3 linked regions of the Elephas maximus indicus genome follow. The protein of the gene in region 2 purifies or fractionates together with the protein of the main gene of each other region. This does not show direct contact. Links are inferred from orthologs where the notes say so. Each region holds a gene or a part of one and is shown on either strand. Other genes may lie near its edges. The genes, in order: URGCP, HECTD1 and SMC2.

Evidence for each region.
Region 1: the proteins of HECTD1 (region 2) and URGCP purify together in Homo sapiens (affinity purification with mass spectrometry; 4 studies listed by BioGRID and IntAct, with this or other methods). This does not show direct contact. The link is inferred for Elephas maximus indicus from reciprocal best matches to the Homo sapiens genes HECTD1 and URGCP.
Region 3: the proteins of HECTD1 (region 2) and SMC2 purify together in Homo sapiens (affinity purification with mass spectrometry; 3 studies listed by BioGRID, with this or other methods). This does not show direct contact. The link is inferred for Elephas maximus indicus from reciprocal best matches to the Homo sapiens genes HECTD1 and SMC2.

Annotation. Positions count from the first base shown.
Region 1 is NC_064826.1:121,605,188-121,608,933, forward strand, and holds the start of URGCP (up-regulator of cell proliferation), read left to right. Parts: upstream 1-932; 5' UTR 933-1,131; coding exon 1,132-1,145; intron 1,146-1,322; exon of another isoform or gene 1,323-1,493; intron 1,494-3,746. UniProt on the Homo sapiens protein: May be involved in cell cycle progression through the regulation of cyclin D1 expression. May participate in the development of hepatocellular carcinoma (HCC) by promoting hepatocellular growth and survival.
Region 2 is NC_064828.1:43,628,875-43,632,620, reverse strand, and holds the start of HECTD1 (E3 ubiquitin-protein ligase HECTD1), read left to right. Parts: upstream 1-1,510; 5' UTR 1,511-1,601; intron 1,602-3,012; 5' UTR 3,013-3,033; coding exon 3,034-3,173; intron 3,174-3,746. UniProt on the Homo sapiens protein: E3 ubiquitin-protein ligase which accepts ubiquitin from an E2 ubiquitin-conjugating enzyme in the form of a thioester and then directly transfers the ubiquitin to targeted substrates.
Region 3 is NC_064827.1:53,703,039-53,706,784, forward strand, and holds the start of SMC2 (structural maintenance of chromosomes protein 2), read left to right. Parts: upstream 1-766; 5' UTR 767-935; exon of another isoform or gene 936-974; intron 975-1,730; 5' UTR 1,731-1,790; coding exon 1,791-1,958; intron 1,959-2,594; coding exon 2,595-2,744; intron 2,745-3,746. UniProt on the Homo sapiens protein: Central component of the condensin complex, a complex required for conversion of interphase chromatin into mitotic-like condense chromosomes.

The sequences.
Region 1 (3,746 bases), on a different chromosome or scaffold from region 2:
GGGTTTACACTCTCCCAACTCAGTCTCTTGTTTATTGGCCAATACGAGTCATGCCAAGCAAAACCTGGGATTTCCACGTAAAACAATGGGTTCAAGATATCAAGAACTGTGAGGATAGTGCAGGACTGGGCAATGTTTTGTTCTGTTGTTATAGCCAACTCCTTGGCAACTACCAACTATGGCTCCAGAGCCAAGGCTTTCAGTCACCACTTTGCAGTCTCAGGTTAGTATTAATATAAATGATAATAAGATAATGATTATTAGTATTTAATGTTCTAACAACAAGTGCTATCAACAATGGTTTACATTTGTCCAGAACATTTTAAGTGTTTTGACTTACAAAACTCATTGCTGTAGAGTAGATTCTGATTCATAGCCCCCTATTGGACAGAGTAAACCTGCCCCATAGGGTTTCCAAGGAGCAGCTGGTGGATTCAAACTGCCGACCTTTTGGCTAGCAGCCAAACGCTTAACCACTTGTGCCACCAGGGCTCCTTTCACTTACAAAAGCTTAGTTATTCCTGAAGTCTCATTTTGCAGAGACAGGAGTTAAGTCTCAAGAAGTACTTGCCTAAGTATATACAGCTGTAGGTGGAGCTATGAAACCGCATCGTTCCTTAATAACACAATTCAAAGAATAATAAAATGCCCCACATCCCTTAGGACTTCACAATGTGATCTTACCCACATTTTAGATGGGGTAACTGAGGCACAGAGAGGCCAGCAACTTGTCCAAGACTACAGAGCAAGTAAGAATAGGAAAATTATCTTTGTTGCTTAATAATAATAATAACAATGCATTACCCTCCAGGGCTAAACAAAAAGCTTTTCTTACGGAAATCAAGCCTGAGTCTCAGGGAGGGGTGGAATTTGCCTGACCCCGCGGCTGCTTTGTGGCCCCGGGAAGGTTTGGCCCCGCCTGTGCTACCCGGCGTGTCTCTGATCACCGGGGCGGGCGCGGGGAAGTCGGGGGCACGGAGCGCGGGGCGCGGGCCGCCCCCGGCCCTGCCGCTCTGCCTGGAGCGTGGCCCAGAACGGGTGGCCCGAGGCGGCGGGCGGAGGCCCCTCCCCGGCGCGGAGTCGCCGCGCGGAGGAAGCGGAGGAGGCGGGAGCCGCGACCTCACCGCGCTCATGGCGTCGCCCGGGTGAGTGCCGCACTCGGAGCGCCGGACCGAAGCCGCTGCGTCCGCGCCGCGAAGGAGTGGGTTGGGGGGGTCTCCGGGCCCCGAGCCCACCGCGCCCGCCCGGGCCTGTGACCCAGCCCGGCCAGAGGGACTCCCTCCCCACCCGCCCCGACCGGCCGGGCCCGGCCTGCAGCCTTTCCGGCCGGGAGGCCGGGTCCTGCCGACCTTGGGCGGACGCGGTGGGCGCTGCCGTGGCCGAGGCGGTGTGCGTAGAAGGAGCGCCAGGCCGCGGGGCAGTGCGCGCAGTCACTGTGCCGAGGGCGGCTGAGGGAGAGCGGCCCGGCCCGGGGTGCGGGGCCGCGGGCCCAGGTGCGGCAGGTGGCGCGGGATGTGGGGCCTGGTGCGGGATGCGGGGCGGGGTGTGGGGTGGGGTCGCGTGCCGGAGTGCCGGGCGGGGTGCGGGGCAGGGTGCAGAGCCGGGTGCAGAGCCGGGTGTGGGCCTTCGGGCCGGGCGGGGAAGTGTGCTGAGGGAGACCTGTGAGCGGTTTGACCCCAGGGCGCCGAATACACAGGTCCTCAGATTTCTGGCATCTCTGTTTTTTAAACTTGCTCGCGTGGAGTTTATGTTTGGTTTTCGCTGTCCTTAGGACGTAACCTGAATGCCACAGAATGTCAGGCTGAGAGCGTACCGACACTTTGCTGCCAAGCGCTTCCGAAGGCGTCCCAGGGTCTCCTTGGTCAGACTGTGGCCTTGGGCCTTCCCTCAGGACTGCCGTATCCTAACATCGCCTCCCTTCCCCTGTTTTGGTGTTAAGAATGCGTTTTCTTTTAGGAAATGGTGGTGACAGACATAGTTTGTAATTTTTTTTTTTTCCCCTAATCTTCTCTTGGCAAAATAAAAACCCCAGAAATCCGTTATTATTACTTTTTTGTTTTGGTTAGTGGTCCTTTAAATCTGGGGATGACACTTAATCTAATGTCTTCATTTTATAGAGGAGGAAAATTAGGCCCCCAAAGCAATGCCTTGGTTGGCAAATTCTTCATTTGGTTGTTGCCCACCACTCAGAGGGTCTTAGGCCTAGTGACTGTGAACAATTAAAGTTGTACATCTTTATAGTTCACAAAGGGCTTTCACAGATATTACCATCAGGCCTGTGAGGTAGAAACTATGGGTACTGTAATGCCTCTTTTACAGGTGCAGTGATTTGGCTCAGTGAAATGGGCCTTAGTGAGCAAGCTGGGATTTGAAGCCAGGCCTCCAGACTGTAGCCAGGCCTTGGGCAGTTTCCATCTGCCTGCTGTCTCTCTAGGCTTAGAGGGCAATGGTCAGTCCTGGGCCAGGGAGTCCTTGCTTGGCTTTCTTAAAACTACTAGGACTATTCCTTACCTGCCTGACCAGATTCTCGTTTGCCTGGTTGTTCAGTGTTGGCTTTTCCTTGTTTCTGTAGTCAATCTCTGCTACAACACGTTCTTTCTGCATGATCATATCCATCTCTATGGCTTTAACTGTCATCTCGGTCTGGGGCTCTTAACCTAGGGTCCATGATTCATGAATGGGCTTCTGGGGTCTCTGTGTTCCCTGTAATTGTATGCAGCGTTGGGGGTGGTGTGTGTTTTCCTGGGACCAAAGTCTGTGGCCTTTATCTGATTCTTGAAGGGACCCTTAGCCTTAATGTTACACCGGTCCAGCAGAGTACCCAGTACTTTGACCTCATAAATGGAATAAATAGGCCCATCCCTGGGAAGTCTAGACCAATTTACTCAGGGGTTCAATGTCCCCTGCATTCCTGCTCTGTTTATCAGAAGAGAGTGAGGCTGGCGAGCCTAATGGCAGCAGCGATGGTGTTGGGGCCTGTGTCAGGCTGCTGTGATGCTTTTCTTAAGAATCATGATGAACTGTGGCTAGTCCAGGCCATGTAGGCTTTGGCACCCAAGTACATTGCTTTGTAGACATGGGTCAGAGGTGGACTTAATGCTGGGCTGGCACCCCTTCTGTGAGCCAGATAGGTCCTAAATGATATCTCTGTAGTAGGTAGCATGAGTGCAGATTTAATATTTACAATTTCAACTATTTGTGAGTTACTCCATGAGTCAGCAATCTGTAGTAATCTGTAGTTTTCTGAGTGGCACCCATTGCAAAGCTAGGGTCACAAAACTTTCAGTATGCTTTAATTCATTTTAGGGGAGAATTATGCTCTTATTATGGTACATACACATTTGGGGACAGTCCATGTTTCTGGACCTATCTAGGTTGTCCACTGTATAGGCTTCGCTGGTGGGCCCAGTCCAGCCAGGGAGACAGTCTCCTGGGATTCTGTGGCCTGTCTTGGTCAGCTAAGCAGCTAACCTTAAGCCTACTAGACTAGGTGCGGTAGAAAAAAATTTCAAGGGACAGGCAAGGGTAGGAGGGGAGTGGTGAGTCTCCAAAACCCGTTCTTTTCTGTGTGGCAACCTCCATGAGAGAGTTGGAGAGGAAAGAGGAAATCCTAACAATTTTTGAGGACCTTCGTAATTGTGCTTAAGGAAATGGCAAGAATGTAGACTTCAGAGGGAAAGATATGTTTGAGAGGTGACCCACTGACCAGTGTATTTGGAGCTAAGTGGAGACAAGGCCAGAGGAGG
Region 2 (3,746 bases):
TCTGGTATTCTCTTTCAGCCAAGCTCCATCTGATATTAGCCTTGGAGGCCCTGTGGGGGTAGTTGTGCTCTGTCCTGTAGGGTTGCTATGAGCTGGAATTGACTTAATGGCAATGGGTTTATTGTAGTTGTAACAAGATAGTGGAATCATTTACTTGGTTGATTTGTTAATAAGAGACTTAAGGGGCAATTACCCAAAAACTATAAAACTAGCTATATGAAGTGCAAATCTGCAATTTCCAAAACAGTGGTTCTTCAAACATACTTAGCAGTTCATCTGATTTCTTAAGGGAACCTGTCTCAAATAGTATCACAAACATTCATTTTTTTAAATCTCAAAGACGAAAAAGTAAGAACACAGCAAAAGTCTCTGGGAGCATCGGTTTCCTTGCCTCACGAAGGAAATTCATTTCTTGATTTTTTAAAAAGAAAGCTATCTTCACGTTTCCAGATAATTACATCCTAAACATCTCCAAGTATGTACTATAAGTAGGCATATTTTATTTTCAGGGCGTATGAAATGTAACTTTGAAGTGACCATAAGCTACCACTCAGTGCTGCTGCTTACTGGGGGTGCCTTTGTGTCTGAATTCATGTTTTCCGGAAGCCTCAGTTTTCTCATCTATACAATGGAGGTAACACTTGATAATACTTCCCAGGGTTCCTGTGAAAGGTTTTCTTTCTGGTGAACTGCAGGGCTGTTTGTCTCCCAGGACCGAAGGGAGGCGCTTTTCTTCACTGGAGGGCCACCAGCGCTCAGCTAATCTTTAGCCTAGAATTAACACTTCCATGTGCTAGGAGCGTGGCCAGAGGGGAAGGAGGAGAAGCGCTGGCGGAGTATTGGTCGCCGAGGCCGGAGGCTCACCACGAACAGGTTGGGCCGCAGCCTTGACGTGCAGCCAGGGCTGCCCGGTAAGTATGAACACACGGTGCAAAACAAGCTGAGCGTGCGTGCACGGTGGTGCGCGGAGTGCTGGGAGTGGCCTCCAACTGACAGCCAGACGAAAAGGACGCCAGAGCGGACGACAGGAAAACGGTGGCAAATACCCGAGGGAGCCCAAGGCCCGGGACCGAGAGCGCCCGGCAGGGGTTGAGACGCGTCCAGCCGCCGGGCGCCCAGGTTGGTGCCCGGGCGCGGTGGGCCGGCCCCTCTCCGCAGCGCCCCAGGTGGCCGCTGGCGGGGTCGCCGCCGGGAAAGCAGATTGGCTCCGCCTCCGCCAGGCTCGGCTGCCCTCGGCAGCTTCCCCCGCCCGGCTCTCGCTCGACCCTCTTCCCTTCCCCCTCCCGGATCGCGATGGACGCGGCCTCCTCCCGCAGCCGCCGGCAGAGCCGCGCGGGCCTCTGAGCCGCAGAGCCTGACGATCCTCGTGCTAGGGACGGACCCTGGCTGGCCGCCGCCTCTGGGGAGAACCTCTCGCTTCTCTGTCATCAGGTCCCCGTGGAGGAAGGGGAGGGACGAGGCGCGGCTTTTCCTGTGCCGCTTGCCTGGCTCGACCTGCGCGGCCTGCGGCTTCCTGGGAACTCGAGGGCCGCGGCCGGGCCTGACTCTGCCCCGCGGCCTGCTTGGAGCTGGACCGGAGTGGTCTGGGACTACAAGCCTGGGTAAGAGCCTGCGGGAAGGGGAGGCGGCAGCGCCTCGGGCCGTCGGAAGTGCCGGGCCTGGGGGCCGGCATCCGGGACGCCCGGCGGTGGGTCGGGAGCGAGACCTCCTTGCCGGGTGAGGCCGGCGGGGTTGCTCCTGTTCCCCTGCTTAGCCCCTTTGTTCCCCTCCCCCCGGCGCTGCCGCGGCGGGGCCCAGCTTACACACCGAAGCCAGAGCCCAAGGCAGGCCCCCCTTTGCCCTTGAGAAGGCTTCGGCGCCCGGCGGGGGCGAGGGATGTCCCGCCGGGCCTCGGAGTTCCGGACGCCGCTCCCGGGAGACCCGCCGCTTAGCCCAGCCCGACAGGCTCCTCTCGGGCACCGAGGCTTGCTGCTTCTCCTTCAGAACTTCCCCCTTCTCCTAGACAGAGGTGGCTAACTTAGCGGGTCTGGTGCTGGGAAACTGGAGGGCGGTGCTAGCGCCGCTTGGCACGGGCTTGGCCGGGCCCGGGATGTTGGGGTAACCCGGTTCGTCGCCGCCGTTGGGTGCCCACTGGGACCCGCCGCTGGATTCACACACCTGCAGTTGGGTGACGTGGGACCCAAAGCCGTCCTCCGGCCAGTTCGGGCGCTTACGAAGAGCTTTTGTGATGACTTGCCTATTGGGGTTGCTTCTCTGTTTTGTGTTACTGTATTATTATTTTTAACCAACTACCCATCCTGTGGGGGTGGGGGAAAGAGGGCAGTAGAGTGGCCTATAGTATTCTGATCCGTAACGTGTAAGTCCATTGCATTACTTTTAGCATTTCTCGTTAAAGTTTTTAGAATAGTTGTCAAGACTGCCAAAATTCCTAAACCAAGTCTTTGTTTATATATAGGTTATCTCATTATCGTTTGTATTTGGAGATCTTTAGAAAAGGAGTAAGTAAATTGGGAAGTCAGCAGAATTTGTAAAAGGAGAAAATCAATTTGGGAGGGATCCTACTGCTTAGAATCTACTCAAAATTGGATCTGACCTTTATCTGAAGATCAGTTTTGAGTAGGGGAGGGCCGAAGAAGTTTGCTGGAAAAAAAAGGGGGGGGGGCGGTTTAGTAGGTATTCTTTGCCTTTTTGGCACAGACATTAGTGATAGCAGTAGTGGGAAACGAAGCCTGTTTGACTGTCTTTGACAAAGGCAGCTCAGTTTCTAGTTAAGCAGCAACCTAATCAGCTTATACTGTTGTGCAAAACCGGTTTTTATTTAGTATGATATCCCAGTGTTAAGTCCCAGCAATAAGGGAAGTTGAGAAACGGCATTAGCACTCTGTCCAAACATACTTGTGAGTCTTTTCCTAGGAGGACAACATGAAAATTTGGCTCTAGCCGATGTAAAAGAAAGTTTTTAAACCCAAGCTGACATTTAAAGGGCCTTTTTTCCTTTTTTTTAAATTTAAGCAAAGAGGCTTTTAAAAAACCATGGCAGATGTGGATCCGGATACATTGCTGGAATGGCTACAGATGGGACAGGGAGATGAAAGGGACATGCAACTAATAGCCCTTGAACAGCTATGCATGCTGCTTTTGATGTCTGACAACGTGGATCGTTGTTTTGAAACGTAAGTACATCCCTTCATCATCTTTCTTTGGGGTTGCTGCAGTGACATCTGTTTTCAGCCGTTTGTTGACTTCAGTTTGTTTAGAAATTTCTCTAGTGAATTTTTGAGCTGTTGCCTTTTTAAAAGTTCCTACAGAATTTTCCATTTACGCTTTTCTGAGAAATAGAATTGGTAGATGAAGTAACTCCAGTGACTGTAATGGTGATGACACAAATATAGTTTTGTTGAGTGGATTGGTAATTAGTAGGAAATACTAATTTTAACCCATAGCTTGGTTGATGCATTTTCAAAATATGTTATTAAAGCTGGGTAAAATGCAGATATTTATCTTCTTTAAAGGTATCTATTTCTGTACTGTGAAATTGACTTACAGAATAACATAGATGATAATGAGCATATATGTTTTGAACTGCCCAGTCCTTCGTTGGTATTAGGTCATATGACATTGTACTTTTGTTAAAGCAAGCCATTTGTAATTTTCAGTTTGGAGGGTATAAATGGAGCGTTACTCACTTAGCATACTTTTCTGGAATAGTAGAGAATGATTTTGAAGTTTGGAGAGTGAAAGCAGTT
Region 3 (3,746 bases), on a different chromosome or scaffold from region 2:
TTTACATACAGCTCTTCAACGCAAGACGAACACCTGCTTGCCAAGCACAGTCCTTTTCTTAACTACTAACGTCAAACACCTACTTGCCCGCCCCACCTTCTCCTCTGGGCCCCAGCACAGCTGTAGGCTGCGAGTATCATCACCTCCTCCGGACGTGAAAACAGAGAATTAACCCCCCCGCCCCGTCAGAAGCCGAGGAGAGGCGGAGCCAGAACGCGCGCGACCCAGAGTCCTCAGAATCCCCTCGCCCACACAGTCCCAACAAAGCGCCTCTTCTGTTTCTGTGGCATCTGGGCCAACCCGGAGATTCTCTGACGCTTCTAATACACAGCGAAGGCACCCAGAGGAAAACCTTCACACCTGCCGGCCTCCCCATCTCTGTGAGCCGACACAGCCGCAGCCCGCCCCACAGCCCGCCAGGTCCTCGAGGAGGCGGAGCTTCCAAGGCGAGGTCCGCAAAGAGGCGGGGCCTGGAGCGGGGCGGGGCTGACGAAGCTCGAGGCCCCAAGGCTGAGGCTTGGGTCTGCCCGAGGTGTGCCGGACGCCCATATCAACATATGCCGCTTACTTTTGGGGTAGCCAGGACGGCGCCGCCGCGTACCCGGAACTGTCATGGCCAGAACTTTCTTTCCCATCTCTCTGTCATTTAGATCCCTAGATTGTAGGGAAAACATGGAACGAGGAAATCAGGCAACTTTTAGGCGCCAACAGAGGAAATAGGCTGTGGAGGCGGGGTCCTTTGCTCGCGCCTAAATTCAAAGGAATAAATAGTTCCGGCACCGGTGCTGGCCGCGGGGCGAGTGTTGTAGCCGGTATGGTGGAGCACACATCCTAGCGCCCGAAGGCGGGCGAATTTCACCCGCACTCCACCCTTGTGGCCTCGCGGAGCCCTCGGGCGTCTCTAGCCCAGGCGGCCTGAGGCAGCGACGAGGTCGGTGCGTGAGCGCGGCTGGTTGGGCCTTGTATTCCCGGCGGTAGGTTGGGGTGGATGAGTAGCAAGGAGGGTCTCAGTTGGGAATTAAGGCAGGAAGGCTCATTTCTGTGCAGCTTTGGAGTGTGGTGGGGGAGTGTTGGCAGAAAGCCTGGTGAGGCGAGGTAACAAACAGCCTGAGTAGAAGCAGGAGTCTGGAGAATATATGCGGTTCGTCTATTTACCGACCCCTCAGACTCAGTCACTATTAGGGGATAGAGCGGTGGATGTAAACAGAAATCTTAGGGGACCTTACATTATAATAGGTGGGACAGACAAATACGGTCTAGTATCACCCTTAAGTGCAACGAAGGAAAAAGAAAGGGTGAGTAGATGAGCAGAAATGCAATTTTACATGGGGAGGTCAGGAAGAACCTTTGAGAAAAGATGTGAATGCAGTAGAGTGCCACGTGGTATTGTTTTTTTTTTTTCGGGGGGGCGGGGGTGGGCAGTTTACAGGCAAAGGGTGTGAAATAATCAGTTTAGCTAGAATATGATAGAGGTAGAAGGCAGGTCTAGAAAAGTAAATCGGGAAAGTTCTAAGGACTTTGGGTTCCAGGCAGAAGTTTCATTAACTTCTAAATCGTGGTTAACTCTATCGTGATTTTAAATAAGGGAACGATATCTTTACATCAGAGTTAGCTTGGCAAGTGGCTGTTTTATTTCTTTTGGGCTGTCATGCCTATGTTTTAGTCTTTCACATTCAGTATGAGTCCAGTCTTGCCTTCCACTTACATTTTGTTATTTTTGTTTTGTACAGAACTAGTTTGTGACCTGTTTGATCGTAGCAGAGGTTTACCAGTCCAAGGCAATTGTGAAAATGCATATTAAGTCAATAATTCTGGAAGGATTCAAATCCTATGCTCAGAGGACTGAAGTCAATGGTTTTGACCCCCTCTTCAATGCTATCACTGGTTTAAATGGTAGTGGAAAATCCAACATATTGGACTCTATTTGCTTTTTGCTGGGCATCTCTAACCTGTCTCAGGTAAAGTGTAAACTTTCTAATTTGTATGAATTTAAGTTTGGCAAGGAAGTCTTCACTGAGCTTAGAAACTATTGCTACCATTCTTTTTTCCTTTGATATTTAAGTACTGTGTTTTGTATGTTATGTGAATTATCTTAAATCTCACTGCAACTGTTGAAGATGAGTACAATTATCACTCTATTTTTAAATGAGAAAATAGAAACTTTGCGGGTTAAGAAATTTGCCTGAGGTTCATCTTCTTAGGGTATGCTGGAGCAACACTCAAACTCAGACATCCTTACTTTAGGCAGCCTCATCCTGGAGTCTGTATTTTTTCTCCTGCACTGTAATGCCTGTAGAGGACCTACTACTAATGGGCGTGAATGAATAGCAAATTTCTTAGGCACTGTCTTCCCTTAAATCTTTCCGATGGACTTTTGCTAAGAAACAGTAGAAAACCAGTTCAGGGTTGATGATGTCCTAGAGAGAAAGGTGCCCGTTGTAGTTTGCCTGTTTTCCTTGCCAGTAGATGCCACTACTTATCCTTGACTACTTAATGGATGCAGCATAGGTGGGCTTTCCAAAAGCAAGAAGTACATTTGCTACTTTGTGCACTATGGGGTTTTATAATTAATAATTTTTCTCCTTCTGTTTTAGGTTCGGGCTTCTAATTTACAAGATTTAGTTTACAAGAATGGGCAGGCAGGTATTACCAAAGCCTCAGTGTCAATCACCTTTGATAATTCTGATAAAAAGCAAAGTCCTTTAGGATTCGAGGTACATGATGAAATCACAATAACAAGGCAGGTGAGTGACTACTCATATTTGATACCATTTTTAGTAATATGGCTTTACACAAAGTGCAGGAGATAAAGAAAAGTCACGAGTAGAATTGACACCTCAAATACTGGCTCATTCTTCAAGAATACTTTTTTTGTGTCAGAATTTTGATCTTGGAAATTCCAGCATTAACTGAGAGAATCGAAAGGGGCCTGAAGTTATCCATTCAGTATAAGTACTCAACCATACTTGAATCTTAAACCATACTTGAACCTTCTCTGTCTGTGCTAGAATACCTCCAGTACCTGGGATCTTACTGTCCTCTGAGGTAACCCATTCCATTTGGACAGGTGTAATTAAAATAGGGCTTCTATAAATTGGCCAGAGTCTGCTTTTTTGTAGCCTCATACATTAATCTATATATTTGAGAGCTCCAAGAGCAAATCTTATTTATTCCATATTCCAGCATTTAATTCTTAGCTGTACTCTAAGCTAAAGCTCTCCAGTTCTTTTAATTGATGTTTAATTGTTTTCATTTTCTTCACTTGCATGACCACTCTAAATATGTTCCAGTTCTTTATAATTTTTTCTGTTTTTAAATGAGTTGTGCCTCAAATCGAGCATATACCAGCATTGGTCTTGTTAGAACAGGATTAAGTCAAATTGTTAACTTCTTTCCTTTTAGGTTTTCTACCTCTGTATTACGCAGTGTGGCATTGGAGGGTTCATAATACCTTACAAATTCGTACTGAATTTACTTAAAACCACTTTTAATTTTTATATGTGCAGTATCACTAAGCTATGTTACTACCATGTTTGTATCTTTTAAGTTACTTTAAACCAACGCAGGACCATACATTTCTCTTTTTAAACTTTTTTCTTATACTCTAACCATGTTATCAGCTTGTCATGGTTTTCTTTTTAATTCTGTTAATGCCCATTTACTTTCTCCCATAGCATGATTTCACTTACAGTTTTTTCCCTCTATTTTAATCAAGGCCAATGTGTTTTTTTTTCTTTTTGTGCTTT